Caenorhabditis elegans: one gene and its partners. The protein of the gene in region 1 purifies or fractionates together with the protein of each later gene. This does not show direct contact. Each region holds a gene or a part of one and is shown in the gene's direction. Other genes may lie near its edges.

Region 1 (6,995 bases):
AGAGCTCACCATGGAGGTCGAAGGTGTCACCACTTCCATCATGAAGCGTACAGCTCTTGTCGCCAACACTTCCAACATGCCTGTCGCTGCTCGTGAAGCTTCCATCTACACTGGTATCACCCTTGCCGAATATTTCCGTGACATGGGTCTCAACGTTGCCATGATGGCTGACTCTACCTCTCGTTGGGCCGAAGCTCTTCGTGAGATTTCTGGTGAGTTTTAATCCGTTTAAAATATACTCATATTTGAAATTCATATTTTTTTCTTAATATTTTTGAAATTTCTCTGAACATTTTCAAATTTTCTTTTCAGGACGTCTCGGAGAAATGCCCGCCGATTCCGGATACCCAGCTTACCTTGCCGCTCGTCTCGCTTCCTTCTACGAACGTGCCGGACGTGTTAAGTGTCTCGGATCTCCAGAACGTGAAGGATCCGTCACCATTGTCGGAGCCGTATCACCACCAGGAGGAGATTTCGCCGATCCAGTCACATCCGCCACCCTCGGTATCGTACAGGTGTTCTGGGGACTTGACAAGAAGCTTGCTCAACGTAAACATTTCCCATCTATTAACTGGCTTATTTCCTACTCCGAGTACATGCGTGCTCTTGAGGAGTTCTACGAGAAGAACTACCCAGAGTTCGTCTCACTCCGTACCAAGTGCAAGGAGATCCTCCAGGAAGAAGAAGATCTTTCCGAAATTGTGCAACTCGTCGGAAAAGCTTCCCTCGCCGAATCAGACAAGGTCACACTTGAGGTTGCCAAGATCATCAAGGACGATTTCTTGCAACAGAACGGATACACCAAATACGATCGTTTCTGCCCATTCTACAAGACTGTCGGTATGCTCAAGAATATGATTGGATTCTATGACTTGGCCCGTCATGCTGTTGAAGCAACTGCTCAATCTGATAACAAGATCACATGGAACGTCATCAAGGATAGCATGGGAGATTTGATCTACCAGCTTTCTGCCATGAAATTCAAGGATCCAGTTGCCGATGGTGAAGCCAAGATTCGCAAGGATTACGAAGATTTGGCAGAGGCTATGGCTAACGCTTTCAGAAACCTCGAGGATTAAATTAATGTTTTTAGAAATTTTAAAATTGATTCTCTTGTTTGTTTCTGTTTTCGCCTCCCCGCTAGATTCTGTTCAGTTTTGCTGAGCGTGTACTTTTTAGTTAAAAGTATATGTTTTTCCTTGATCCCCTCACCCAATTCGCCTCCTTTCTCTACTTTTATCCTCTTTAAAGTGTTTGATTGATTTGACATTCCAAATTTCAGATATTTATTGCACCTTTTTTCTCTTTTGTAGATTTCTAAACTTCAAAAAATTCCAACCACACACAATGTATCTGGTCGCCTTACAACTCCCGTTTTAAACAACAATTTCACTTATATTAATCAATATTTTTGGTATTCTTCTTGTTGAATAGACTACTTTACTTGTGCCCTTCCATTTCTTTTTTTGCGACAACCAACCCGTATAGTCTTACGAACCACGTTTTACTGTGTTGTGATATGTATAATACTTTTGAGACACACCAATTCAACTATAGCAATAAACTTTAGGAAAATCACAAATATCTCGCACGCAGGTCTCGTTTTCAAAATGGAATTGGATTCGGTGAAGCAGCAACAACAGCAGAACGCTTGCTGTGAATATATTCTACCAATTAAGAAGCGACGGTGTAAGATGCTGGTGAAAAAGGGAAATCGGTTCTGTGGAGAGCATTCAATTCACGATCAGAATAACACTGATCGTATGGTTTGCCCGAATGATGGAAAACATACGATTCTGAAGGCAGATCTAGAGATTCATCTGACAAGGTGTAATTCTAGAATCAGAGATGCAGAATATATCAAAATTGATGCAAATTCTATTCGTGGCGAGACCAAACGCACCGATAAAATTGATCGAAGAGCCACTGAAGATGAGATTTGTACCACTGTGCACAAGATCTGGAAGTGCTATGAGACGGATGTAATGGATCGTTTGATTGTTGAGCAACAAAGAAATGAGCTCGTCGAGCAAAATATCGCACAAAATTCAGATCTGAACAACACGAAAAAGAAGCAATTATACCAGATTTCGTCTATTTTAGGTTTTATAAAATGCATTTCCATTTTAATAATTTTCTTTTCAGGTCACATCGAATCCACAGGGCTACTTCCAACTTGCTCCAAATCTTGCATGTTCGAGCTCGGAGCTGGAAAAGGTCAACTAGCTTATTGGATCTCCAAAGCAGCGCCAAATGGAAATTATATTCTCATGGATCGCTCTGGATCACGAAATAAATTTGATACTGCTGCATTTCGAGAGAATCCGAATTTATCAATGAAACGCTTCCGATGCTCAATTGAACATATGGACTTGAGCAAGATTGATGAGCTGAAGGTGAGTTTTACAGTTTTTATCCAAAAAAATCTTTATCTTTTTTTAGAACTCTGAAAAGATTTTGGCAATCTGTAAACATTTTTGTGGAAGCGCGACAGACGCTGGAATTCGATCGTTGATGAATAGTGGTCTACAATTCAACGCTGCACTTCTGATCCCTTGTTGCCATCACAAATCGCGATTCGCAGAATATGGAGGACATGATTTTTTGGAGAAATGGGAAATGAATGATGAAGCTTCGTTTGCTGCACTTCGATATATTGCATCGTTTGCAACAAATGGAGCAGTTGATACAGAAGCAACTGAAGGATGGAAGTCAATTCATCCGCCATTAGAGCTTGGACGAAGAGCGAAAGCCATCCTTGAAATCGGACGAGCAATTTGGCTGGAAAGTGTTGGATTCAAGACGAGAGTTGTAGAATACGTGCCGCCAGAAGTATCACCGGAAAATTTATTGATTTTAGCTTTGAAATAAGATCACGCATTTAATAAAATGATTTGTAATATTTTTTAATAAATAGATCGAAACAAATTGAACATTTAATCAAATAAATATACAAAATTTTATTAATTTCGAACAAAAATTAGAATCTATGCGATACCTACACATTCTAAACCACGCGCCTTTAAATAGTACGGTGGGATATTTGACAAAAATTGTTATTATTTGAATTACCTCGCAAATCTCTTGGCGTTTTTCGCGTGCACGAGAAACGCGCAAGCAAAGAATTTGATTGCGCTTTGTCAGATTAGTATTTATTTTATTTTCTTTTTCACTTTAAATTCAATCCTATGGCTTTGTTCTGCACGTTTTTGAATTAGTTTTGTTTCTTTTTTCAGGTAAAATGAAATTTCTACTCCGTGCCTCCTCACTTGCCGGTCAATCACTTCGATTCGCCTCTCAAAGACCGAAGGTGTTTTTCGACGTGAGTATTGGAGAAGAACCAGCAGGACGTGTCACCATGGAGTTGTTCAACGATGTTGTCCCAAAAACAGCAGAGAATTTCCGCGCATTGTGCACCGGTGAGAAGGGCGTCGGAGAGCAAGGAGTTGCACTTCACTTCAAGGGATCAAAATTCCACAGAATCATTCCAGAGTTCATGATTCAGGTAATTTTTAGTTTCGAACTATGAGTTTTAACTATTTTTCATTAACATTATTCAATTCTTCAGGGAGGAGATTTCACTCGCCACAACGGAACTGGTGGTGAATCAATCTACGGAAATAAATTCAAGGACGAGAATTTCGATCTTAAGCACACCGGACCAGGATGCCTTTCAATGGCCAACGCTGGACCAAACACCAACGGATCTCAGTTTTTCATTTGCACAGTCGACACTCCATGGCTTGATGGAGGTCACGTCGTTTTCGGACAAGTCACCGACGGCATGTCTGTTGTGAAGAAGATCGAAAAGATGGGATCCCGATCCGGAGCCCCAGCCAAGACTGTCACAATCGCCGATTGCGGAGAGTTGAAGAGCGAGTAACTTCATTGTTTTTTTTGTTTCAAAAATATTTTTCATTAGCGTTAGCAAATTGTTATTATTTTTTAATTAATTGTTTTTAATTAGTAAAGTTTTAGTTTTTTTTCGAAAAATAACTGGAAAAAATTAAGTCTTACAGATTTATTTTCTACCAGAAAAGTGAAAAGCAAAAGCAATGGTCTATAAAAATTCACCAGAAGACTCAATATCATCTGCCGATGTACAATATTCACACGTCTTCGCACAAATTTTACGAAAAAGTGGAGAATAGGCTCTATGTGTGCACAACTTCTGATTCCTCTCACAATCTGATGCTCGATCCACGCATTCTGCAGTATCAGTCATTTCCGATGAGATATTTTCAATTCTTTTCGAGAACCTTCGCGGTTTCTTTTCCATGAACGTCGTGGGAGTTGTTGCATTTCTCAGAAGATCAATCACATTGTCAACTATTTTCAACTCTTCCAATTTTTGAACAGTTTTTTCACCCATTTCTAAATATTTCAGAATATGTTTAAACAGGTCGGAAGAAGCTTACTGGATTTCAAATGCGAAATATGAATTTCCCGGCTATCCTCTGTTTCCTCTTCTTCGTACTCGTCATCGTCAACACAAAATTTGCAGGTTTTTGCACATCTGAAATTGCATTTAAAAAGTTAATAATACACTAATTGGCCTCGACGCGACAAATTTTTGTTAATTTTAATGGTGCGTCCATAGTCTGCGGAAAACGGGAATTTCCCGCGTGCGGAAGCGTCCATAGTCTGCGGAAAAACCGGAGTTCCTCGCTTTTTTTTTTCCTCAAAGTTCAAAAAAGTAGGAGTGGCCAACCAATCAGCTGTTGTTTCTTGTTTTCCCATTGCTCAGCTTAAAATTTTACAGCCCCTAATTGGTTGAACACGCCCACTATTTTGAAATTGACCAATAACAAAGCGAGAAACTCCTTGTTTTTTTCCGCAGACTATGGACGCTTCCGCAAGCGGGAATTTCCCGTTTTCCGCAGACTATGGACGCACCATAAAAGGCGTGCGCTTTTCAAGAGTACTATAATTCGGGTTTTCTGGGGAATTTTGATCGATTTTTACAGTTTTTTAGTTAAAAAGAAAACTCTATTAAAAAAATTTTTTTTAAACAAAAACTGAAAAATCAATGAAAACAGAATACATGTTTAAATTACAGTACTCCTTAAAACCGCACGTGTTTTTACATTGAAATTTTTACAAGAAAATACATGTCGTGCCAAGACCGGGTACCGTATTGGCGCAAAATTCCTAAAATTTGCTGCTGGAGAAAAATGAGACAAAAACTCACTGTAAACTCATCATGCGTTTGTAGAACTTTCTCTGACAAAAATTGGCTCTATCTGCACAATCATCAGCTTCATCAATACATTTGAATGGTTTGATAATCTCATCTGTGGGTACTGTACTTGTAGTTGTTCCACCAGTTTTAGAATTAATACAATATCCACATGTAAGAGGACAAGCAATTTCCATAAGCTTCTGTTCTATTCGATTGGGTGATAAACATTTAACAGCAATCAATCTACAATCATGATGTGCATCTGCACATTTTTCAGACAAAACTGTATGGATAAATACTAGAGAAATGGATAAAAATAGCTGAAGCATTATTGAAAAGTATTCGAATAGACTATAGAAAGAGCACGACCCTTTTCGGGTGAAGAGATTCCATTTTTGTTTGTCCAGAGTTCAGATTCGAATAGAAAGAAATGTACAAAAGAGTGAGCGTGCATCGAAAAGAACAACAGTAGCACTTGTTTGTACAATTGGTTTACATCTAAACGCGGGTTCAACAGAAACTTTTTGTTTTGGACTAAAGGTTTCTTCAAAATATGAAGTTTTTCGGATCCCTTTCAGGATCCTTTTTTCCAAATTTAATAGACGGGGGGGGGGGGGGGTGGGAAACAACTACATCCAAGTTTTCAGCATTGTCAGCCACGGGTCGTTGTGGCTCAAGAGAGGCTCTCTTTTTGAAGGGAAAAATGTCCGAGAAACCCCATCCGCCTAGAGAACCTGGCACAAAGGAAAAATGAACAGCTAAACATTCAACGTGCAGCCGACGAAAATTGGGCTCGTGTCAGCGACTGTATATATATATATGAGACGTGTGTGGTCAAGTGGGTAAGGGTAAGGCACAAGGTGCGGGTTCAATCCCCGCAGCGGCCACTATCGTTGTTATTCTGTTAAAACTCGACACTTTAGTTCAAAAACACACGTTGTTTTCCGAGTGGGTCCCGCCACGATCTCTACTACAAACAAAATATCAATTTTTTCTGAACCTTGAAAACCTATAGGTCATATATGAAAATGTGACTGCAAGTTTTGAAAAACAATTGTTCAGTTTCATAAGTAAAGAATTAGCTTTCTGGATCCCTTTCGGGATCCTTTTCCAAAATTTATGGGCGGTAGGGCAGCGGATGTTGATTCTACAAAAAAATTGCGGATGTTGTGAAAGCGGATGATTAGAAAGAAGCTCTCTTCTGAAAATGCCCCTCACCGCCTTGAGAACTTGAGATGTTCGATTAATTTGAAACTTGATGTTAAAACCCTGCAGCCGACGAATATTGGTGTCGCGTGAGCGACAGTAGACACGCGCGGAGAAGATGAATTATTTGAGTAAAATCATTTTCTGTTTGAGTACATAACTATTATAGAGGATTTTACTTTCCAGATTAATTTTCAATAATTTTTCGACATGTCTCATGATTTTCGGCTTTTTGAAAACTGAATTTGTAGAATCCGAAACATCTGAAACATTGGAATGACAACTGGAAAATGACTTCCTAAAAACGGTATAGCAACCAATTCTACAAAAATTAGGCAATCTATCCCATGCTCACATTTCCCATGCTGACACTTTCTCCCGTGCATACAAAATTCTCATGCTTACGCCCAGTAGTTCGAGTACTCCCATGCCTACAATTAATTTTTCTCCTTTTTTTCCGTTCCCATGCTGACATTCCCATACATACATTTTCTCTCGTGCATACAAAATATTCTGATGCTTACATCCAGTAGTCGAAGTACTCCTATGCCTACAACTCATTTTTCCCTTTTTTTTCGTTCCCATGCTGACATTCCCATACATACAT
Region 2 (7,507 bases), on another chromosome or scaffold:
GGCAAAAATTTGTTTTAAAAAAATATTTTTTCAAGTTTTTATTTGAAAAACGTAAACTGAAAATTATAGCCAAATTATTGATATATTTTATTAAAGGTGGACTAGCGCCAGTGGGGAAATTGCTTTAAAACATGCCTATGGTACCACAATGACCGAATATCATGATAAAAAAATTCAAAAAAATTTTCTAAATTTTATATGATTTTTTAAAAATTGAAAAAATCTCAGTTTTTGCCTAATTCCTATTTGAATTTCCGCCAATTGGATTTGTTCGATGGAGCGCGCTTGCACGTTTTTAAATTTTTTTATTTTATTTTTTGTTATTTTCCACCGATTTTTAATGTTTTCGGTGTATTTTTGCTCTAATTTTAAAGAAAAAGTGAAAATAAATGCAAATTTTCGATTGAAAAACACGATTACAGGCGTAAATCAGTGAAATTAATTAATTCAGATTCGAAATCGTTTAAAATCGGTACTTTTTCATTTTTACGCCTGTAAGCGTGCTTTTTAATCGAAAATTTGCATTTATTTTGACTTTTTCTCTAAAATTCAAGCAAAAATACACCGAAAACCTTAAAAATCGGTAGAAAATAACAAAAAATAAAATAGATAAATTTAAAAACGTGCAAGCGCGCTCCATCGAACAAATCCAATTGGCGGAAATTCAAATAGGAATTAGGCAAAAACTGGGATTTTTTCAATTTTCAAAAAATCATATAAAATTTAGAAAATTTTTTTGAATTTTTTTATCATGATATTCGGTCATTGTGGTACCATAGGCATGTTTTAAAGCAATTTCCCCACTGGCGCTAGTCCACCTTTAATAAAATATATCAATAATTTGGCTATAATTTTCAGTTTACGTTTTTCAAATAAAAACTTGAAAAAATATTTTTTTAAAACAAATTTTTGCCGATTTTTCTACTTTTTTTAAAGCTAAAAATCACAAAAAAAAGGTTCAAAATCCAAAAGATTTCTGATTTTTTTGGTTTTTGCAATTTTCTGTCTAATTTTCACTCCAATTTTCATAGATTTTTCTCTAAAATCATTTGCTTTGGAAAAAATTTGAAAAAAACACTTTTTTTTCTGAAATTCAAAAAAATGTCACTTAAAAAAAAATGTCATTCCAGGAAGTTGCCAGAGATCACGAGGGCACCGAGAAAATCCGAATTCGTGAGGAACGTCACCAGCGATCCGAACTTCGGAAGATCCGAGAACAGCAGAAAGAGGAGGAGGAGCAACAACAACGAGATAGTGCAGAGAAGGTGGAGAAGGAGGTTACTGTAGATCAAACCATATCGGAGGTGGCAGCGGCGGCGGCGGCAGTCGAGGAGAAGCCTGGGACCCCGGAGCCCGTTGGGAGAATGGTAATTTTGAAAGAAAAAAAAACCGATTTTTTACCAAAAATCAATCATTTTGCCATTTACCATTTTTTCCAGAATATTGATTTTTCCAAAAAAAAATTTTTTCTCAAGAAAATCTATTTTTCCAAAAAAATTCGATAACTTTCCGAAAAATCTATATATTTCCAGTTTTTTTTTCAGTAAAAAAATTTCCAGAAAATCGATTTTTCCAAAAAAAAAAATCCATATTTTTCTAAATTCAATACTTTTTTCAAAATAAATCGATATTCTTTTCATTTTGCAAATATTAAATTATTTTGTCTAAAAATTTTTTTCCAATCGATTTTTGTAAAAAAAAAGGTTTCCAAAAATATAAATTTTAAAAAAATCGATATTTTTTTTAAAAACCTGTTTTTTTTCCAAAATTCCAAAATCCTTTCAACTTTTACCAATTTTTTTTTGAAAAAATTCGATATTTTTCAAAAAAACTTTTTTTTTAAACCAAAAATAAATATTTTCCAAACTATTTAAGTTTTTTTCGAAAAGTAAATATTAAAAATAAAATAAAAATGAACTTTTTTCCAAGTTCATTTTTATTTTTTGAAAAAAAAAACGTTTCTAAAAATCTTTATCCTTTAACCAAAAATAAATATTTTCCAGAAAATCGATATTCTTTATAGATTATCGATTTTTTTCCAAAAAAAAAAAATGTCCTGAAAATAAAATAAAATACACATTTTTCTCTATAAGTCTATACTTTTTTCCAGAAAAAATTGAATTTTCTCAATAAAAAATTGATATTTTTCTCTAGAATGCTATATTTTTCCAAAATAAAATCTAAATTTTATTCCAGAAAAAAAGGTATTTTTTCTAAAAATCAAAAAAAAAATCCAAGAATTCTATATTCTCAAAAAACGGCATTTTTCAAAAAAAAAATCATTTTTTTCAGTAAAAAAATTTTTTTTTTCTAAAAATCAATATTCTTCCAAAAAATTGAAATTTTCATCGATTTCTCTCCCAAAAATATATATCTCCAGAATATCGATTTCCAATTTTTTTTTCAAGGTTTTTTGTCCAAAAATCGATTTTTTCTTTCCAAAATTTTTCCAAATTTTTTTTCCGGTGAAATCAATATTTTTCAATATATGTAATTCCAGATTATCGATTTTTTCTTTTCAGAAAACATATTTTTCCAAAAAAAAAAAACGGATAAGAAAATCGATTGCCGGAATTTTGTTGAATACCGGCAAATTCCCAGTTTGCCGATTTGCGGGAAATTTACAATTCCGGCAATTTTCCGATTTGCCGGAAAAAATCGTTTTCCGCCCACCCACCTGATTCAAAAGTCGATATATTTCAAAAATTGATATATTTCCAAAAAATAACAATATTTTTCCACAGGGAGAATCAATTTCGGAATTCATCGGCACCCCGATCTTCTCCCGCCGTGACGTCACGGGTACGTGGATTGAGGATACTGTACCATCGCTCGAAGCGTTTTCCGTCGGCATTGTGCCATTCGAGGCGAAAGAGGAGGAGAAGCCACGTGGCATTTTCAAAAAAATTATGAGTACTTTGAAAGGGATCACTGGAAGAAATAGTGGAGATGATGAGATGAAGAAGAAGGAATAATTTATTGATTTTTTTTTTTTTTTTGGATTTTCGACTTTAAAATTAGCCTAAATTTATCCTAAAATTATCCTAAAAATTAAAATTTCACATGGTTGACAAATTTGCAGTGGAGCGCATTTGCAGAATTTTTTTTTTGAATTTTTTTTTCATAAAAAGCGTAACATTTTCCAAATTAATGGGATTTTTAAAGGAAAAAATTATCCCAAAAATTTTAATTTTCTAATTGAAAAAAGTGTTATTAGCCCAATTTTTAAAGGTTTTTTTTGCAATTTTCATCAGAAAAAGCGTTAAAAATATCAATTTTTCGTGAAAAGTTGATGAATTCTCTCAAAAACTCGGCAAAAAGTACCGCCAAAAATTCAAATTCTCCAATTTTTCATCTCTACCAGCAAATTCGCGATGGAGCGCATTTGCAGAGTTTTTTCAGAAAAATCGTAAAATTTTCCGAATTAACGAGTTTTTTTTTAAGTAAAAGTGATCCCAAAAATTCAAAATTTTCCGATTTTTGAAATTTTTTTGGTGCAAAAAAACTAATTTTCAAATTAAAAAAAAGTGATTTGTCTAAAATAAAAAGCGTTTAAAAAAACCTTTTAAAAATTTTTTTTCCCAAAATTCACGTGGTGCCAGGGGCTGTCCCATCGACGGTTTGATCTACAAAAAATGCGGGAGTTTTTCGCCCAAAAATGTTGTGACGTCAGCGCTTTCTTAACCATGCGAAATCAGTCCCCGCGCATTTTTTGTAGATCAAAGTAGATCAAATCGAAATGAGGCATTCTGACACCACGTGAAAATTTCAAATTCTCCAATTTTTCATCTCTACCATCAAATTTGCGATGAAGCGCATTTGCAAGGCCTTTTTTTAAATTTTTTAAAAACTCCTTAAAGTTAAAAAAAATCATTTAGCTTTAGAAAGCCCAAAAATTAAAAAAAAATTTTTTTTTAATCGAATATCAAAAATGCATTTGTGCTCCACCGCACGGCGGTAATTTCGAAATTTCTTTAAAATTTTTTTTATAAATTTCTGTATTTCACAACTGTATTTTTTCCCGAATTTTCCTCGCCTAATAACACTATTTGTCATGATTCTTACGTCATTGTCGCCGCCGTTTCTCTTTTTCTCTCGCCACTCTCTCATTTCCATACACTATTTCCACTCTCATTTTTATCATCATTTTCTTCAGTTTTTGCTGCTTTTAAAGCCTATGTTTTCCCTTTTTATATAATATCGCAGAATTTTGTTTTTGTAAATTTAATATATATATATATATATTATTTATTTGATGATAATGTGATTTCTAATTTTTTTTTCCCCAATTTTTTTCAAATTCAAATTGTCTCTACGCTTTTCTTATACTTCATTGCCTTTTTTTTTCAACAAAAATTTGAGAAAAAACACCAAAAAATTTCAGAAAAACCATGTCAAAAGCCTTTGTCGACGGACTTCTCCAATCTTCCAAAGTTGTCGTATTCAGCAAATCGTACTGCCCGTACTGCCATAAGGTAACACAATTTTTCTGAAAAATTTGAATTTTCCTCGAAAATTGCTTTTTGTCATCAAAAAAAAAAAAAAATTTTTCTGAACAATTTTGTCCTAAAAAATTTGCTTTTTTCTGGATTTTCAGCGAAATTTCCCAATTTTTTTGAAAAATTTATTCCAAAAAAAATTATTTTAAAAAATCGTGTGCAACAGAGCGCAGTTGCACCAGTATGAAATTTTGCAAATTCAATTTAACTTAAAAATCAAACATTTCTGTATTTTTCTGAAAATGCAGAAATTTTGGGTCTCGTAGCGATTTTTTTTGAGAAATTTTCGGAAAATTGAAGACAACGGCAAAAATCAATAATTTGCGAAAAAATCTGTCACGGGGTTCTGGCATTCCTCATTGAATTTTTCGCGCTCCATTGACAATCGGCTGCCGGACAACGCGTGGGAAAGTGTCGTGTACTCCACACGGACAAATACATTTAGTTTTACAACTGAAATCGAGCCGCGACGCGACACGCAACGCGCCGTAAATCTACCCCAGATATGGCCGAGCCAAATGGCCTAGTTCGGCAAAAACTCTTCCATTTCAATTTATGAGGGAAGCCAGAAATCCGTGAAAATTGAGAAAAATATTATCCATTTTCAAAATCTTTTTTTTGCAAAATTTTTGAGTCTCGGATACATTTTTTAAAATAATTTTTTGAGAAAAATTAAAAAACCCCAATTTTTCAGGCTCGTGCTGCTCTTGAATCGGTCAACGTGAAGCCCGACGCTCTGCAATGGATCGAAATCGACGAGCGCAAGGATTGCAATGAGATTCAGGATTATCTTGGCTCTCTAACCGGAGCCCGCTCGGTGCCACGTGTCTTCATCAACGGCAAGTTCTTCGGCGGCGGTGACGACACAGCGGCCGGAGCCAAGAACGGAAAACTCGCCGCACTGCTCAAGGAAACCGGAGCTCTATAGAATTTGAATCGCCATTAATTTTTATGTATTTGATTTATTTTTTTCTTCATAATTCAATGACACAACCCGAGATAAAAGTGAGAAAAGAGAGAAAAGTAGTACAGCCAAAACACGTGGTGTTAGCAGAGTGTCTCATTGCGGCTTGATCTACGCTGATCTACAAAAAATGCGGGAGAAGAGACGCAGAGTTCTCACATTTTTCTGGGCAAAAAATTCCCGCATTTTTTGTAGATCAAACCGTAATGGGACAGCCTGGCACCCCACGTGCCAAAAAAAAAACGAAATTCAAGAATACATAGAACTGATTAGAATATCGTCTTCGTCGGAATCCTGTTGCAGTATGCTCGGGCCCCCGTGCCCGCCGCCACGTCGATTTCGAAATCCGGATTTTTGTCGTGATCGCCGACGAATCACAGCGACTACGGCAACCGAGAGAACGAAAAACGCGACAAAGGCGAAGAAAATGTGCGAGTATTGGATTGTGACGGTGCCTGAAAATTAAAAAAAAAAGGTTTTTGATGAATATGCGCGTAAAATTCGGTGTGTTGCGAAGTTTGGCTAATTTTTGGCGCATACCATGAGATTTACTGCAAAATTTTCAAAAAAGATATGTTGTTTCACACGTGGTGCCAGGCTGTCCTATTACGGTTTGATCTACAAAAAATGCGGGAATTTTTGTGCGAAATCGGTTAAGAACTCTGCGTCTCTTCTCCCGCATTTTTTGTAGATCTACGTAGATCAAGCCGAAATGAGACACTCTGGTGCGCCACGTGGTTTTACATAGTTTAATTAAATTTGCGCGTAAGATATGGTGTAATATGGTGGCTTTCAATTTGAAAGTTTGCAACAATTGCGCGTGAAATATAGTGTTTTTTTGAGGTTTGGGATTAGTTTGCGCGTGAGATGCAGTGTGTCCTAGTTCAACAGAATCTTGCTCGTATGGCGTAGTATTACAGGGAACACAAAATTCTGAGAATGCGTATTGCACAACATATTTGACGCGCAAAATATCTCGTAGCGAAAACTATGACTACTGTAGCGCTTCTGTTGATTTACGGCCGCTTGATTTGTTGAAATTAATTAAAAATTTAAATTGAATGTCGCTGTGGCTATTCGAAAATATATTCATTTCGACAATCGAGATCCCGTAAATCGACCTACAGTAGTCATTCAAAGAATTACTGTAGTTTTCGCTACGAGATATTTTGCGCGTCAAATATGTTGTGCAATACGCGTTCGCGTAATATAGTCTTCGAAATAAGAAAAATCAATAATACCTGAAGATTCAGCGGTTATCGTCGTTGTCTCCTTCACCGCCGCTACGGTGGCCTGCACATTTGTCTGTCGTGGTTGAGCAACTCCCTCACGAGCCATCGGCGCTCCGCCCCTGGAATATCGATTTTATTGATTTTTTATAGAGCGCAATAGACTCTACATATTTGTGTACACAAACCCCATATCGAATAACTCCGGAAAATCGGTGATCTCCTGTTGAAGAATATTCGAGAGAAGCGAATCCGCCATTTTATCGATTTTTTTTGGATTTTTTTTTCAACAGGAAGTGGAAACTGGAGGAAAAACGAGCCAAGGAATTGGGTGGAAAATTTGATAATTTTACTGATAAGGAAAATGTCGTCAAAATGCTATATAAAATATAAATTTTATTTCGTAACAAGCGTGAAAAAATGTACCGCACAGCAATGACTATTTATTGATTTTTACAAGCCGCACGTGGTGTCAGAGTGTCTCATTGCGGCTTGATCTACGCTGATCTACAAAAAATGCGGCAGAGTTCTCAACTGATTTCCCATGGTTCAGAACGTGCTGACGTCACATATTTTTGGCCAAAAAAATCCCGCATTTTTTGTAGATCAAACCATAATGGCACCACGTGGAGCAATTTCTCATTGGAGCGTGTTTGCAACCTAACCTCGCTTCGCAATTCCACTCGTCGGACCCGTCGGTGCACTGCGTAATCCCGTCACAAACGTCATAATGTGCTATGCATTCTCCGTTTCGACACGCCCATTCCCATTCCCCTGAAAATAGAAGACATGGCTTAAGTTTCTCCGAGATTTCT
Region 3 (7,088 bases), on another chromosome or scaffold:
GTTTTTCCAGGTGTCTAATCGTTCCTTTTCTATTCGTTTTATTTATACGTTTCAGCACCACATTTCCGTATTCTTCCATTTTTTCAAAGACAAATTTGCAGGAATACCCTTGGTTTTTGTAATCTTTTAGAAATACATTTAGCTTTTGGAATGCGGATTTTTTTCTTCATATTATCGTTTCCCCCGTTCCACAGTTTTCTGTTTGATCAGCTTTCTCCAGCCTCAGTTTTCAATTTTTATTTCTAACCTCTAACCGTCATAAATCAATTGTATGTAGTTGCTACTTCTGTGTGCTAACCAAATGTATTATCAGTTTTCTCCGACCGTTCTGCGCGGAGTCATATTATGCAAGTGATGATGGTGCAGAACAACACTGATAACAACTGTCCGACCACTACTTCATCTTATCATTTCTTACGCATCCCGTTTTGTCAGTTCTATTTGAATATATTAGTTGTAATAGCAGAGTGTTTTCCTTTTATTTTAGTTGTTTTTTCTTATTCTCCAGTTGTGTTAATTGTTTTTTTTCTAACTTTTTTCCAATCTTTCCAAATTCCAATGTAATATATTTTGTGCATTTTGTGTGCTCCAGAGTACACTCAAAGCATAGGGCTATGAGGCAGATGCTCACAATTTCGGATCTCAATGATACCGAGCCATTGGGCCTATGTAATAAATCAAGTGAAGAAGAAGAATATAGATAGATCTAACCCCCAAGATAAAATCATTGTCCATCTGCTCTTGCGACCAATCGATTCTTCATACATTTACTCGTCATGAATCTGTACTTAACTTTATTCTCCTTTTGCTTTTTAGCAATTATGGCTGAGGCGGCTTCTGAAATTCCAGAGAAGTTTTTTGGAAAGTATGATCTCGACAGAAGTGAGAACTTTGACGAGTTCCTGGCTGCTAAAGGTAAAAATAATTGATAGTGTACATTTAATAGTAATTTTAATTACAGGAGTGAGCTGGTTTGTGAGACAAATGATCAAATTGGCAAAAGTGAGCAAGGTGCTGGCCAAAAATGAAACTCCTGGAAAATACAACATGGAAAACTTGACTTCAAAGAAGAATACACTCTACCACGGGTGGGAGCTCGGGAAAACTTTCGAGGCAGAAGGCCTTGATGGAGTTGCACACAAGGTTTCAAAAAATATTCAAGTGTCTTAAAAATATTGTTATATTTAAGATTACCTTCTCCTTCAAAGACGGAGTTTTGTCTGAGCACCATATCCGACTCAACGACCCAGAACACAGCGCGGAGACGTACTACTACACTATCGAGAACGATCAACTTGTCATGGTGTGTACTTCGTTCTCTTTTCCTTTTTTCCATTTTACAACTTCTTCCACTAATTTTCTCATTTTTAGAAAATGGTCAACAATGGAATCACGTGCCGTCGTTGGTTCAAGCGATCGACCGGAAAGAAGTAGAAATTATAAACACAACATAAAACTGAGCTCTTCACATTATTAATCACAGATGTTTATTTTTTCTGTCCTTTTAAATAAACAATTGTCCCTTTAGACTTGCTCTGCCATTTTCAAAAATTGCATGATCTCACAAAAAAAAACGAATGAACAGATGGAGGTCAAACATCGAAAGTGGACATAGAACAGATTAGCCAAGGTACAAAGTAGATGGGTCTATTGTAGCCCAATAAAACGTGAGAATCGTATTGGCCAATTTACGGGAAAGGCCATCTGGAAAACAATGATCTCTAATATGAATTCTGTCATCTGGGAATAGGGCTCAAACATTTGAAAACCAGAAAAAAAAACAATTTTGTGTCTTAAAAATTTTAGCTAGTGTTGAAAGTTTAAAAATATTTTTGAAAAATTGTGTTTTATGGGATCCTTACAATATTTTTTCGTTTTCATTTTGAAACCAAAAAAACCCAAAACCGAATGTACCGAAATTCTGCGGCAAAAAAACTTTTTTTCTGAAGTCGTTTTCTTTTTCTGTGGGTCGAATTCTATATGAATAAAAATTTTCATAATTTTTTCCGGTAGTTTTTTTTGGTTTTCCAAAGTCCCAGCCCTGCATGGATTGTGTTTTGAACTGCAGACCTGAAGACCTGTTGCCGTATTCAATGTTTGCTGAAGAAATGGAGAATCATACTATAGACTATGAAAGATAATGATAACATAAAATTATATCAACCAAATAAGGAAATTGCAATTCGATTCGCCTTAAACCTTCAACGAAATTATTTTGAGTTGATTGTTCGGTCTTCCAGGACCCGATTCATGCAACTACTCTCTTCAAAAATATCCGAACTGACCCCAACACACGGAACAAAAAAAATCTGCCCCGAATCATTTATGCTACACTCTCTTTCGATACCCATCCGAGTCCAGCCGTCCATCTCTGCTAATCGTCAGCGCAATCGACATGTGGGCTGCACTTCTTGCCGTACAATGTTGTTTACGACTGTGCAAGTAGGCGGGGTCCACGCAGACGACGTCGACACACAGCCCACAGTCCTGCCAAGACGTCAGTCGTTCATTCATCGACCTAGCCAACCATGTGCGCTAAAATCGCTCTTCTCCTGGTTCTTGTTGGAGCTGCTTCAGCTGCTGTTCTCCCTGATAAGTTCTATGGAACTTTTGACTTGGACCATTCCGAAAATTTTGATGAGTATCTCACTGCTAAAGGATACGGATGGTTCACTCGTAAACTTGTCACTTTTGCCACATTCAAAAAGGTGTTCACTAAGACTTCCAACAAGAACCTCTTTGACTACTCCAACTTGACATCAAAGAAAGACGTCCATTACAAGAATGTCCAACTTGGAAAAGCCTTCCAGGGAGAAGGACTTGACAGCACCAAACACGAGGTACGCTTTTGCAAGTTTTCAAGTAACCTTTCAAATTGATTAATTAATTAATTTTCAGATCACTTTCACCCTCAAGGACGGACATTTGTTTGAGCATCACAAGCCACTCGAGGGAGGAGACGCCAAGGAAGAGACCTACGAGTACCTTTTCGATAAGGAATTCCTTCTTGTGGTAAGTTATAAACATTTTTTAAAAACCAATTTCACATTCTCATGATTGTAATTTTCAGCGCATGAGTTTCAATGGAGTTGAGGGACGCCGATTCTACAAACGACTCCCATAAATATTCAGAAACTATTGTAATTTTTGTATGAATTGATTTCTCAATGTACTTTTTTTGCCACTGATGTATTTCAAGTTTCAAATAAACTGAAAAGTTAGATCGATTCTGTAATGTGATATGGGGCAAAAAATAAGAAAAATAACGCGGTTCTTTTGTGATTCATGCTGCATAGCCCTCTGAAGTTTTTTGTTTGGGAAATGTTTTCACTGGTTTAAAAATGTACATATTAGGAGTTCTAGAAAGCAAAGTTGATTAAAATTTGAATTTTTGTTAACGTGTAAAAGTGACACAAGTGTTAAAAAGAAAATTTTGCACATTGAAGACTTGAAATTAAGAATCAAATTATCAGATGAATTGAACCTATGCTGGAATCAAAACATGAAAGTTCGATTGCGCCGTGATATTTGCAAAAACGTAATTCAAAACACAAAAAGGACACAACCAGTTTAAAATTTCGGGTGGGTCAAAATCCAATCACTTTTCGGTTTTTTTTTTTCGATGTTGTGTTCGAAAGTTTTCTATAAAATGGAGTTTTTTCTACTCTTTCGTATGCTCTTTTTTATTTTTTTTTTCCTGATTTTCACATTTAATTTCTGAATAAGGTACCATTAAATAAGAACCATTTCTCAAAATACATAGTTTAATAACTAAAATCATTGGATCTTGAGGACCTCATTAAAAATATTTTTTTAAGTCTTAAATTGTTTGATGTGCAGTCAAAAAACGTAGCAGTTTTCTTTTCAATTTTCTTAACGCGTTTAAATTTATTTCGACAAAATTCATTCTGCATTTCAACAAGTAATCGATGAATTGTTTTCGTTCGGTCTCTTAAATTTTGTTTATTATTAGCTTCCAGGTGTTGTGAGGATTTTTGAAAATCAAGTAAGTCCGATCATCAATTTGTTGTTGCCATCCGTGCCGTGACCCTATATTACACACGTGGCTGACCTCAGTTTTATTGTGTTGTCGATTGAGCAACTGGGCGGAGTCTTGATCAATCTTCATTTCTGTGGACACTTCAGTCATTCAGTCATTGACTTGAACAAAAATGTCTTCGAAATTCCTCATCTTACTCGCATTTTGTGGAGCTACCCTTGTGGCTGCCGAACAGCTTCCAGAAAAGTTCTATGGAACCTTCGACTTGGATCACTCTGAAAATTTTGATGAGTACCTCACTGCCAAAGGATACGGATGGTTCACTCGAAAGCTTGTAACCTTTGCGACATTCAAGAAGGTTTTTGCCAAGAATGCTAACAAAAACCTCTTCGACTACTCCAACTTGACATCGAAAAAAGATGTGTTCTACAAAAACGTCCAGATCGGAAGCAAGTTCGAAGGAGAGGGTCTTGATAACACCAAGCACGAGGTGAGTTCCATGCCATGTACTTTTTATTTTATTTTTATTTCAATTATAATTTTCAGGTTACCTTCACTCTCAAGGACGGACACTTGTTCGAACATCACAAGCCACTTGAAGAGGGAGAATCCAAGGAAGAAACCTATGAGTATTACTTTGATGGAGATTTTCTTATTCAGGTAAAATTTGGTCAATCTATTTGACATACATTTTTGTTAATTACAGAAGATGAGCTTCAACAATATCGAAGGCCGCAGATTCTACAAGAGACTCCCATAAAAGTTTAAACTTATTCTATTGAAATTTTCTTAAATTTGCAATTCAATTTCATTTCCGAAAAAAATAAATTTATTTTCAAGCAATCTTCTGATGTTTTCAATTTGGAATCTTGGTGGAATGTATTATCCCAATTATTAGTTTTTAATTTTCTACAGATTAAAAAATGAACATGTTGAGGTAAGAAACTTAACACTAGAGTATGATCTCGCTGCCAAATTCTGCAACAACCATTATTTAAACTACAGTTGTCGTTTTCTTTATGTGATTTCATCTAAACGTTGAGTAGCACCAGTGGGAAATTGGCAAAAAACTACGCCTATGGTGCCAAAAGGACCAAATATCAATAATTTTGGAAAATTGTTCATTTACTGTTGAAAAGTGACTCCGTTATTGCCACTCATAATTTTGAAAGTGGACCAAAAAAATTTTCTACTATTTTTACACATTAATTTTGTTTCAATTATTTATGCAGAGATAAAGATCACTTAGCACCTATATTCTACATGTTCTATCATACAAAAAAAAGTGCCATTAATGTGCTAAAAATGTGCTGAAAATGTGCTAAAAATGTGCTAAAAATGTGCTAAAAATGTGCTAAAAATGTGCTTGAAATGTGCTAAAAATGTGCTAGAAATGTGCTTGAAATGTGCTAAAAATGTGCTAAAAATGTGCTAAAAATGTAATTTTAAAAAAAACTTTCGTACAAGCTATTATACTTGATTGGCATTTTTTGGTATTTTTGACTATGCTAAACAGTTTTCTGAAATAAAAAAGAATGACTCCATATGACTTTCCAGGACTTTTGAATTTTTGAAAAAAACCAGCTTTTATATATTTTTATCATTAAAAAAAAAAAACTTCCGTACAAGCTAATATACTTTGATTAGCATATTCTGGTATTTTTGACTATGCTAAACAGTTTTATGAAATAAAAAAGAATGACTCCATATGATTTTCCCATACTTTTGAATTTTTGAAAAAATCAGCTTTTATATATTTTTATCAATTAAAAAAAAAAACTTCCGTACAAGCTAATATACTTTGATTAGCATATTCTGGTATTTTTGACTATGCTAAACAGTTTTATGAAATAAAAAAGAATGACTCCATATGATTTTCCCATACTTTTGAATTTTTGAAAAAATCAGCTTTTATATATTTTTATCAATTAAAAAAAAAAAACGTCCGTACAAGCTAGTATACATTTTTTGGCACTTGCTACAATAAATACATTTTTTAAAAATTCCTTTACAATGCTTTACCTTCAAAATTTTCTTTGTCTTCATTTTGCATTGCAACTGTATGTATTACGAATATGTCTAAAAATGAGAAATTTTAGTCATATCTTACGTGCAAAGGGATTGTCACGTAGACAACGAATTATTGTAACTCACGGTAACGCGGGTTAGCATTTCCAGTGGTCAACTGTGTCTTCCCATACTCCACAAGCCAGCTGCCTAATATCGATTCAGAATAGTCCATTTTCCCTTGTACGTCAGAGTCATCTTGCACAGTAGTGGATAGTCTTACGTCAGTTGCTCTTTTTTTCTTCCACTCGCTTTCGTCCACTCAACCTTCTCCGTCATTTTGTCTGTACTGCTCATTCTGCTGTAATGAATATTTTACAACTACCTTCAAAGGCTCTCCGATGCACACTTCAACACTGCGATCTTCTGGAAATGTAAGTTATTATCTTTATCATAATTAAATTTAAACAATTTCAGATTGAATTTCTCTTTTGTCTCGAAAAAGACAAAACAGTTTGCAAAATCTCTGCATCGAAACGTCTCTGTGGTTGAAATAGACATTAATGATTTTGTGGAAGTTCAAATCTGGAAATTCGAAGTCACCCAACGCCACGATCGAGTCAAGTTCACATTTTTCTCCAACATGCATCGTAGTCTTCCGGTCGAAGATCCCCAGTTTTTTATGGATCAACTTATCCACAACGGAGTTATTGACGGTCCAGAAAAAATGAAAAAGTTCGGAAACGGAGAGCATTTGAAAATCCAAAGTTCAACAACTGGTAGAGTGATTTGGATGAGCATTCCGAGCATGGGATTACGAAAGTATGTTGATCACTTACTGGATGTTTTAAATCGAGTAAAACTTGATGAATTCGCAATAAACAAAGACAACTATTGCACTGAATCGATTTGCGACGAGTTCCGAGATTTCGATATTCGATGCTTTATGAATCCCAGAAAAATGTCAGACTCATTGTTTCATCAAAAGATTATGAGGCACATTGCAAGTAAATGCGACTCGCTTGATCTCTGTACTCCAGTATTTGAACCTAAAACTCACACAACTCAAGAGTTCTTGATT
Region 4 (8,897 bases), on another chromosome or scaffold:
AGTTGTACCATCAGTCAGAATTCCAGCTCAGGTTGGTAGATTTTTGAAAGAACCTTTAAGAAAATATCATTTCAGAACGATTGTTGCTGTGGCTGCTCATCGCCATGCAAGTACAAAAGTGTGAGACGCGCCGCATTTGCAGCCAAAACAATCGACCCTTCGTGTAACAGTTCCGAACTGAAAAACATTATCCTTGATGTGAGTACACTCGTTTTGCACGTCAAGCCTACTCTCTTTTCAGAATATTAGCGAAGATGCAAGTGAATCAAAGAGGAACATTCAGAAAATTGCCGAAGAAACACTAGGCCATGAGGTGAACGTTATTTGTGGTACAGGAGAATTCAGTTACATAGCTCATACCGATACATTCTGCCAAGCATTTAAGGAAGATGTCACCTGTTATGCATTCAAACCATTGCAATAAACTTATTTGGTGTTTTTTTTTTGTCTGTATTTCCTGCTTTTTCTGTCCACTACTGGCTTCAATAAATTAATTTTTTGAAAGTTTTTAATTCAATTTGATTTCGTAAAAGCAAAATCCAACAAGATATAAAAAGTTTGAAACTAACACTTATACTCAACGACAGTAGAGAAAGTGTTAATTCAATAGTTCATCGCTGTTGGTGTTTGTATTTTCAAAATGTTTAACCTTAAAAAATGTTTCTTGTGTATTACAACCCTTTATTATAGAAATAAATTATTTTTATATTTTTTTGACCATTTCACTCGCCGTACCTGTTTATCAATTACCGATAATATTTAACAATACAACTCACCTTTAAGTTACAACTTTTGACCTGCTCAGCAGGCTGTGGTGATCTGAAATCTACAGGTTAAAAACCTACATCCGATTGTGAAACGTTTTCTCTACTCGAAATGGTGGTAAGAGTTTTCTAAGATACAAATTGCTAGAGACCGTTTTTCTTCTGATATAAAAAGCGTTTTAGTAGCAATTTATCTTCATGGAATTGAGATTTCTATATTATAAACATAAGCAACTCTAAAAAACACTAGTTCTCCACTCTTTAAAATCGTCATACTCCTACTTGCTTTTTATTCATGAAACAGTATCATTGCCAATGCAAACAAACAACTATAGAATAATGCCATCCAAACATTCAAGAAAAAATCATCACGTGACTGTTTCGCAATTCAATTTGCATCCAATGTAGTTTTCTCTCTCTTGTCAAAACTTATCTGATATACTCTATTGTTTTATCCAATTGACGTCACTATCATCATCTTATCTTTTCAATTAGATTTGTGAGACCTTATATAGCGGTTTCAGTGGTGCACATCTGTCATTGTCACTGTCTGTGTGCAGTCATTTTTTTTGGTTATCGTTTTGTTTTTATTGGTGGTCGTTTAGTCGTGTATCGACCTTGGCCTATGCGTGTACGACTCCTTTTTGTATTTGTCACTAGCACCCTCTCCAACCTGTATGCTATTTTCTGTTTCAACGCCGCATGCGTGTACAGTTTCGGAGACATAACAGACTGCTGTCTACTCAACTCCATTTTTCAAAACTTGTATTGCTTTGCAGGCTAAATCATGAAATCCTTCGTTTCTGTTCCTCAAAACTCGGATTTCCCAATTCAAAACTTACCGTATGGTGTTTTCTCAACAAAGGCTGACGTAAGTGTATAAATAATTATTTCTAAAGCAAAATTAAACTAAATATTTTCAGTCTTCCCGCCACATTGGAGTTGCAATTGGAGATCAAATCCTCAACTTGGCAGAAATTGCCAATCTTTTTGACGGACCTCAATTGAAGGCACATCAGGATGTTTTCAAGCAGAGCACATTGAACGCGTTCATGGCACTGCCACGTCCAGCCTGGTTGGAAGCTCGTGCAAGAATCCAACAACTGCTCTCAGAGGATTGTGCTGTTCTTAGGGATAACGCTCATTTGAGGTGAATAAGTTGGCAAAACAAATTTGAAAAAGTTAAAAAGTAGTACAAAGTGTGTCTGATAATCTACTAACCAAATCTAAACAACTATTTCACAAGTTTTAATTTTTATCGTTAGTTTATAATTGCAAAGTTGAATCAATACTGTGCAGCAAGTTGGCAAGTTGAAATGTATATAGAAGTATGTGAAAATGTTCGGTCAATCTGAAAAAAATTATTTTATTGAGAACGCCTGGAAACCCGTCAAAGTTTTTGAAATACTTCATTTGACTTTAAATATATCGTTAAACTTTGTTGGCGACTTGTAGGCATTATTTTTAAAAAAATCTATTTCAAAATCGAGAAAAACCTACATTTTTATATTAATTTTTGATTTATAAATTGAAATCTCATACTGTAATTAGAAGCTTTGTACGTTTTGCGCACAACTTACATATAACTCTGTTTAAAACAACCAAGAAACTTTGTAATAATATTCTTATGTTTTTATTTACAGAAGCCGGGCTCTTGTCGCTCAATCCGATGCTACAATGCACCTTCCAGCTCAAATCGGAGATTACACCGATTTCTACTCCTCCATCCATCACGCCACCAACGTCGGAATCATGTTCCGTGGAAAGGAAAATGCTCTGATGCCAAACTGGAAGTGGCTTCCGGTCGGATACCACGGAAGAGCTTCATCAATCGTTGTATCTGGAACAGACTTGAAAAGACCAGTTGGACAAACTAAGGCCCCAGATGGTAAGATTTAGATTTGCACCAATAATGCAAATGTGTCCGCTTTCAGCTGAGGTTCCATCGTTTGGTCCATCAAAGCTTATGGACTTTGAGCTCGAGATGGCGTTCTTTGTGGGAGGTCCAGAAAATGAATTGGGAACTCGTGTTCCAATCGAGAAGGCTGAGGATCGTATCTTTGGAGTTGTGCTCATGAACGACTGGAGTGGTGAGTAACGATGTTAATTAAATATCAAACAAAAACATTTAAACTCGACATTTTGGTGACAAGAAAATTCAACAGTAGTTATTTTCAAGTTTGCTCCATACTCATCCGAAAAAAAACTTTTCCAGCTCGCGATATCCAAGCTTGGGAATACGTTCCACTCGGCCCATTCCTTGCTAAATCCTTTGCCACAACTGTTTCTCCATGGGTCGTCTCAATTGAAGCTCTTCGTCCATACTTTGTTGAGAATCCAGTACAAGATCCAGTTCCACCAGCATATCTCCATCACGATGACCCATTTACCCTTGACATCAATTTGGCCGTCAGTATCCGTCCAGAAGGAGATGCTGTGGACCATATTGTCTGTAAAACTAACTTCAAGGTATGTTCAAGTTTAGTAGAAACGATATTATCTACACTGTTCACTGTAAATTGGATCATAAACGCTCGTTAAGGTTTTCTCAACTACAATACTGTAATTTCTAGCATTTGTATTGGACTCTAAAACAACAACTTGCTCACCACACCGTCAATGGATGCAACCTCCGCGCTGGAGATCTTTTGGGATCAGGAACTGTATCTGGACCAGAAGAAGGTGCATATGGATCCATGCTCGAGCTTTCGTGGCGCGGAGCCAAAGAAGTTCCAGTTGGCTCAGAAATCCGAAAGTTCTTAAAGGACGGAGATGAGGTCAACCTTTCTGGAGTTTGTGAAAAGAATGGAGTCAGAATTGGTTTCGGAGAGTGCCGCGGAAAAGTCCTGCCAGCCGATATCTAAAATCATCGTAATTAAATCGTTTTGCTTTTTGTTTCATTCTCTCGTTTGTTAGTAGTATCTCGTCGAATAAAGTTCTGAAGCCCACGAAAAGTGATGAAAGTGGAAGTGTGCAGTGTCGAAAATGATAGGGGTTTGTCACGATTTTTTGGTTTCTATGTTATCAGTTCAAAGCATGAGCGAATAAATAGGAGAGCTGGTTGCTTGGAAATCATTCTCAGTTCAATCATGATCAAGACAATCTTGCTTTTGGCCTTTGTGGCCTCGACCTCAGCTTTTGTGATTCCTTTCAAAGTTCATGCTGCAGTTACCAACATTACCAAAGGTGAGTATGAGAATTTACAGATTTGTTTCAGATAAAGTGAAATTTGGTGTTTGTAAATGGAAGCCTTTACAAAATTTAAAATGAACATTTAAGCATTATTTTTGATTTTTTTTTTGAATTATTTTCCGAAGCGTATAAAAATTTCGATCACGTTTGATTGAACATGAACATTTAATGGTACATTAACGTTATATTTTATTCAAAATAGGGATAGACACGTAACTGGGAGTAATAATAGTGGAGAGCGGTAAGTTGTTTTAAGAGCACGTATATATATATCCCGAAGCCACATAAAATGTACAGTGAATGAACAAACATTATTTCCTTTACGACATTGAGTAGAATGTATTTAACTTAGAATAAAGCTTATAACTTACAAACACAATGTTGCGGTTGATTTCCAATTATATATTGGTTGTTTTGAGAATTATGAACTGAAACTTGTGTGGTATGATTTTTCCATCATTTCCAACTATTTGAAAACATTTTATATCAACTTTTAGAAAAAAACTTTTTTTTTTTGATTTTTTTGGAATTTTTAAAAAGGGGTATTTTGGCACTTTCAAAATGTCGTAACTTGATCAAACCTGCTCTGAAGCAGCTAAATTTTTGGAGTGATCATCTGTAACTATTCTCTATCGAATGTATATAGTGGCGTAACGAAGTCCGATAACGAGTTCAGAGCCTTCCCTTGTTAGGAATAATGGTTTTCTAAATCTATTACATTCCACTAGTGAATTGTTTTGTACTGAAAATTACTTTTGGTATATAATACACAAGTTCCTTAGATTTTCAAAACTGAAGTTTAATTCCAGGAGGACAAACTCTGGAGCAAACCTCAACCTTCTTCGTTGCTAACTTGACCATGGGAACACCAGGACAACTTTTCACTGTTGTCATTGACACTTCGACCGCTGACATTGTTATTCCAGATATGAGTTGCAGTGAGTTTCAACCAATCGCTTTCTTGATTGCAATTTGATAGTTTTACGACTTTTAAATGTATAAAACATCTCGAACATAATCACGAAATGATGACAGTTTTTGTCAGCTTTTGCTGACAATTTGCCCTATTATATCGGCACTAAAATCGTTTTTTATGTTGATTATCGGTCAAAGACTATCACTTAGTGCACATAACATTCCTAATTTTGAAAACTCCACACTACTGATAAGAGTGAAAAAGATACAAACTGGAAAATGTTTCAGAGACCGCAAATAATTGCTACAACAAGAGAAGATTCAACCAAGCAAAGTCGTCGTCTTACTATGCATATGGAAATAAGTACACGTACAAGAATAATCTTGGAACTTTCCAAGGATTTGATGCAAAAGACACTGTTGTGGTAATACTTTCAATTTGTTTTTTAAGTCCTAACAATTTTTTTCCAGATCGGAGACCGCAAAACTGATTTGATCACCATTCCAGGCGTGAAGTTTATGCAAGCTACCGACCTCGGACTTTTGATGGATGGATTGGGTGCTGATGGAATTTTGGGATTGGGATTCACAGCCTCATCGCAAATCGGTGGAAACTCACCATTCGTTCAAGGTGTTAACGCTGGAGACATTTCGGGCACATTCTACTCCATCTGGCTCGAGCACTTCAACCAAACTGATGATCTCGGAACCCACGGAGTTATTTACTACGGAGGATTTGATCCAGTGCACTGTGCTCCAAACCCAACATACGTCCCATTGGCTTCTGCATATGCATACCAACTCACGATGTCTTCCTTCAAAGTTGTAGGATCATCCGCCACCAACTCCAACAACAAGTACATTCAAGTGAGTTTATTGCATCTCTTATGTATCAACAAATATAAATTTCAGACTTACCTTGACACCACCACCGCCCAAATTGGACTTCCAAAAACTTACATTAGCCAGGTGTTTGACTCCCTTGGCATCAGCACAAACGTTATGAATGCTATCTACCCAACAATTGTTCCATGTAACACTAAGATCACCCTCACTTTTGGATTTGTTTCTGGTATGTCGATTTCAGTGTACCTTCCACTTGTTTTACATAATTGCTCTATTTTCAGGTACAACAGTCTCAATTACGGAAAGAGATCTTGTTATTAGCTTCTTCGGAACATGTAGACTCCAAATTATTCCAACCACTGATAGGTAAGGAATGATTGAGAAGATGGATTGAATCATGCAAAAATTTTTCAGAATCATTCTCGGTCTTCCATTGTATCGTGGACGTTGCACATATTTCGATCCAATCATGCAAAGAGTCGGGTTCACTCCAGCGCTTCTCCAAGATTAGTGTTAATATTTGAAAGTGGAATAAAAATAAATCATTAAATTTAAAAAGTGCCGTTATGCGGTTCATATTCAGATTCATTTGAGAAATTTCTGAAAACATTGTAAGACTATTGGGATAGTTGGGAATGGGTTTAAGAACATATTTGATAGTATTTCTGATCTACACATAGTAATGTTCTACAAAGTTCTAGAGTGTTTCAAAAACTTTCCCAAACTTTCAGAACGTTTTATATTCTCAAATATACAAAGATTTCGAAGAAAGTATCTTAAACTTTCCAAAACTGATCATTTTCTGAATGTTGAAACGAACTAACTTGCCTACTATGTAGTTAGAAGCAGATTCTACATAGGGCGGTTGGAAGAAGTTAAACATAGTAGGCTAGTTAAAGCATTCGCTGTTGCATGTGCAACCGGTCGGTCCAAATAACGTCAAACAAACAAAAGGGACTAAAAAATTTTTCTATTTAAAAATTATCAGTAGAAATGTTAGTAAAAACATATCATTATTCTGTTCTAAAGCTTATTGGATAATGACTGACGAAGTTTGACTCATTGTATCGAATGATCATTTTTTAATGTAAACATTCACATCTAACAATTACTGTATGGTTGTCATAAAATACAAAATGACATTTTCCATTTAATAAAAAAGATCATCAAACATCACCCGACATATTCAAAACGATTTATTTGTTACATTGTCTGTTTTGTATTGTGACTCAAACTGTCTCATAAATACTGCTTGAAACACATAACTATATAAGAACCTGTCTTGCAACAATTCATTAAAATCTTCACCATGCTAATTATACTTGTTGCGGTTTTTTTAGCTCAAGCTAATGCCAGAGTGGTTGACATAGCAACCGACATTGTGAACATGGCTGCTATAAAAGACCAACTAAATTACGAATGTAAAGACGTAAAGGAGCAAACTCAATTCCAAAATTGCGGCAGCTCATTTTCAGTAAGTTTCCCAGAAAATAAGTTGGTGACAGTAAAATATTTCAGAAAAGTTTGGCGATTATCCAAAACTATCAAAACAACTCAACAAGACAACCAACTCTTCATGAAGAGCTGCTTTCACTTAATAATGTAGTGAGATGGATGTCATTATGTACAAAAAAACAATGAAAATGTGTGTAGTGCACAAATAAAAATTCATGAAATTACCTCTAAAATCACTGAAATCGTTCATAGCTTTTCCACAGAAATGAGTCCGAGTGACTGTTGGAAAGAGGTACTTTTAAAATGGTTTTTTTGGTGTATGTAAAATGATTGTTCAGGACGAGCTATATCACCAATACGTTTCTTGCTCAAACAATTATGGATTAACAAATAGAAATACTCTAAAAGAGTTGGACGTTCTCCGTCAAAATCAAGACGCAATTGTCACCTGCTTAGATCAACACATGGAATCTTCTCAAGGATGCAACAAAAAAAATCGGCACGAAGTCGCAACAATCGTGAACAAAATTGTAAATTTGTATAATATGCTCAATCCTGATCACAATTGCAACTAATTCTCTTCGTTGTTGACACTATATGAGATGTTAAATAATGAATAATCGAGCATTTCAACACATATTGAATATACACCGAATAATGATAAATTTCACGGAACAAATACGATTTGCAAAATATACTTTTTAACTGCTTCTCTAAAATTTGAATATGCACTTTGTCATCGTCGACATTTCGGAATGTGTGAAAATAGAGCCAATGCAGCAAAAGGAAACAATTTGAAAACACTTGCTTTAAAACAATTAGTTTATTGTTGCAATATTTTAAAAAAGTGTCCAAAACATGCTAGTACTTTATTTCAGCTTTACGTGTTAAAACTTTACAAATACCGTGATGTTTTAACTGATATGAAACATTGCTCGCCAAATATGATGTTTTCCACTTAAACAAAACAAATTGCGCGTCAGATATGATGTTTTTAAATGAAATAAAAATTTTGCGTCAAATATGATGTTTTCATCTGATATAAAATATTGAGTGTCAGATACAATGTTTTCAACTGAAATTAACAAATTTTTAGTGATTTCAAAAAACATACTGTAGGTATTCCGAAGAAGTGAAAAATCGCAATATTGAGTTTAAAATACTGTTGTGAAGGTTACTCTCTTCTTGATCTAAAATAATATGTAAAGTAAAAAGAAGTTTGAATTTATGAACATCAATATTCACATTGATATAATTGAAAATTCTAAGAACACATAATTTTTGACAGTTTCAATAGTTGCGTTATAACGGACAAGGCAGAATGGAACTAATGTTTGATGTCGGGAACAATGACTGTAATATGAACTTCTGTATATAATAAATAAACTGAATGGTATATAAAATACAATATGATTTTTTCTGTGTGATATTGAAATATCACAAAGAGCCAGTTGAATTCACAATTATTAATTATATACTGTTCATTTCAAAAGCTTCTTGTGCCAGCATTGTAAATCACAATGAAAAAGTGACAATAACCCAATACATATGAGAGCAGCAATTTGGTACATTTTTCACCATGCGAATAATACTTTTTCTGTGCTTTCTGGCTCAAGTTAATGCAGGAGTTATTGATTATGCATTAGACCTTCTTCAAAGCGATTTTATAAAATACCTATTCTTTCAAGAGTGTGAGTACAAAACGGAGCAGACTAATTTCAAATA

Evidence for each region.
Region 2: the proteins of cyn-1 (region 1) and glrx-10 fractionate together in Caenorhabditis elegans (co-fractionation; one large-scale study listed by BioGRID). This does not show direct contact.
Region 3: the proteins of cyn-1 (region 1) and lbp-2 fractionate together in Caenorhabditis elegans (co-fractionation; one large-scale study listed by BioGRID). This does not show direct contact.
Region 4: the proteins of cyn-1 (region 1) and asp-14 fractionate together in Caenorhabditis elegans (co-fractionation; one large-scale study listed by BioGRID). This does not show direct contact.

The regions. Positions count from the first base shown.
Region 1 is NC_003283.11:14,352,840-14,359,834, forward strand, and holds cyn-1 (Peptidyl-prolyl cis-trans isomerase 1), read left to right. Parts: upstream 1-3,236; 5' UTR 3,237-3,241; coding exon 3,242-3,505; intron 3,506-3,568; coding exon 3,569-3,883; 3' UTR 3,884-3,982; downstream 3,983-6,995. Other genes in the region: vha-13 (V-type proton ATPase catalytic subunit A), read left to right, coding at 1-212, 313-1,079; Y49A3A.3 (tRNA:m(4)X modification enzyme TRM13), read left to right, coding at 1,611-2,103, 2,146-2,396, 2,443-2,871; Y49A3A.4 (ShKT domain-containing protein), read right to left, coding at 4,061-4,374, 4,419-4,516, 5,192-5,511. UniProt on the Caenorhabditis elegans protein: PPIases accelerate the folding of proteins. It catalyzes the cis-trans isomerization of proline imidic peptide bonds in oligopeptides.
Region 2 is NC_003279.8:1,045,212-1,052,718, forward strand, and holds glrx-10 (Glutaredoxin-1), read left to right. Parts: upstream 1-4,384; 5' UTR 4,385-4,391; coding exon 4,392-4,475; intron 4,476-5,193; coding exon 5,194-5,427; 3' UTR 5,428-5,516; downstream 5,517-7,507. Other genes in the region: Y34D9A.7 (PSP proline-rich domain-containing protein), read left to right, coding at 1,131-1,367, 2,745-2,975; Y34D9A.8 (Low-density lipoprotein receptor domain class A), read right to left, coding at 5,713-5,918, 6,705-6,814, 7,358-7,466.
Region 3 is NC_003284.9:3,256,630-3,263,717, forward strand, and holds lbp-2 (Fatty acid-binding protein homolog 2), read left to right. Parts: upstream 1-3,980; 5' UTR 3,981-4,172; coding exon 4,173-4,490; intron 4,491-4,546; coding exon 4,547-4,660; intron 4,661-4,706; coding exon 4,707-4,760; 3' UTR 4,761-4,841; downstream 4,842-7,088. Other genes in the region: lbp-3 (Fatty acid-binding protein homolog 3), read left to right, coding at 777-915, 962-1,143, 1,190-1,303, 1,372-1,434; lbp-1 (Fatty acid-binding protein homolog 1), read left to right, coding at 2,529-2,840, 2,899-3,012, 3,071-3,124; fbxb-71 (F-box domain-containing protein), read left to right, coding at 6,374-6,441, 6,485-7,088. UniProt on the Caenorhabditis elegans protein: May play a role in sequestering potentially toxic fatty acids and their peroxidation products, or it may be involved in the maintenance of the impermeable lipid layer of the eggshell.
Region 4 is NC_003284.9:6,441,563-6,450,459, reverse strand, and holds asp-14 (Peptidase A1 domain-containing protein), read left to right. Parts: upstream 1-3,795; 5' UTR 3,796-3,853; coding exon 3,854-3,950; intron 3,951-4,765; coding exon 4,766-4,894; intron 4,895-5,159; coding exon 5,160-5,296; intron 5,297-5,342; coding exon 5,343-5,738; intron 5,739-5,783; coding exon 5,784-5,943; intron 5,944-5,998; coding exon 5,999-6,083; intron 6,084-6,131; coding exon 6,132-6,228; 3' UTR 6,229-6,275; downstream 6,276-8,897. Other genes in the region: grl-6 (Ground-like domain-containing protein), read left to right, coding at 1-31, 76-198, 242-424; fah-1 (Fumarylacetoacetase), read left to right, coding at 1,552-1,635, 1,688-1,914, 2,408-2,652, 2,699-2,854, 2,980-3,233, 3,338-3,628; K10C2.7 (uncharacterized protein), read left to right, coding at 7,027-7,191, 7,236-7,358.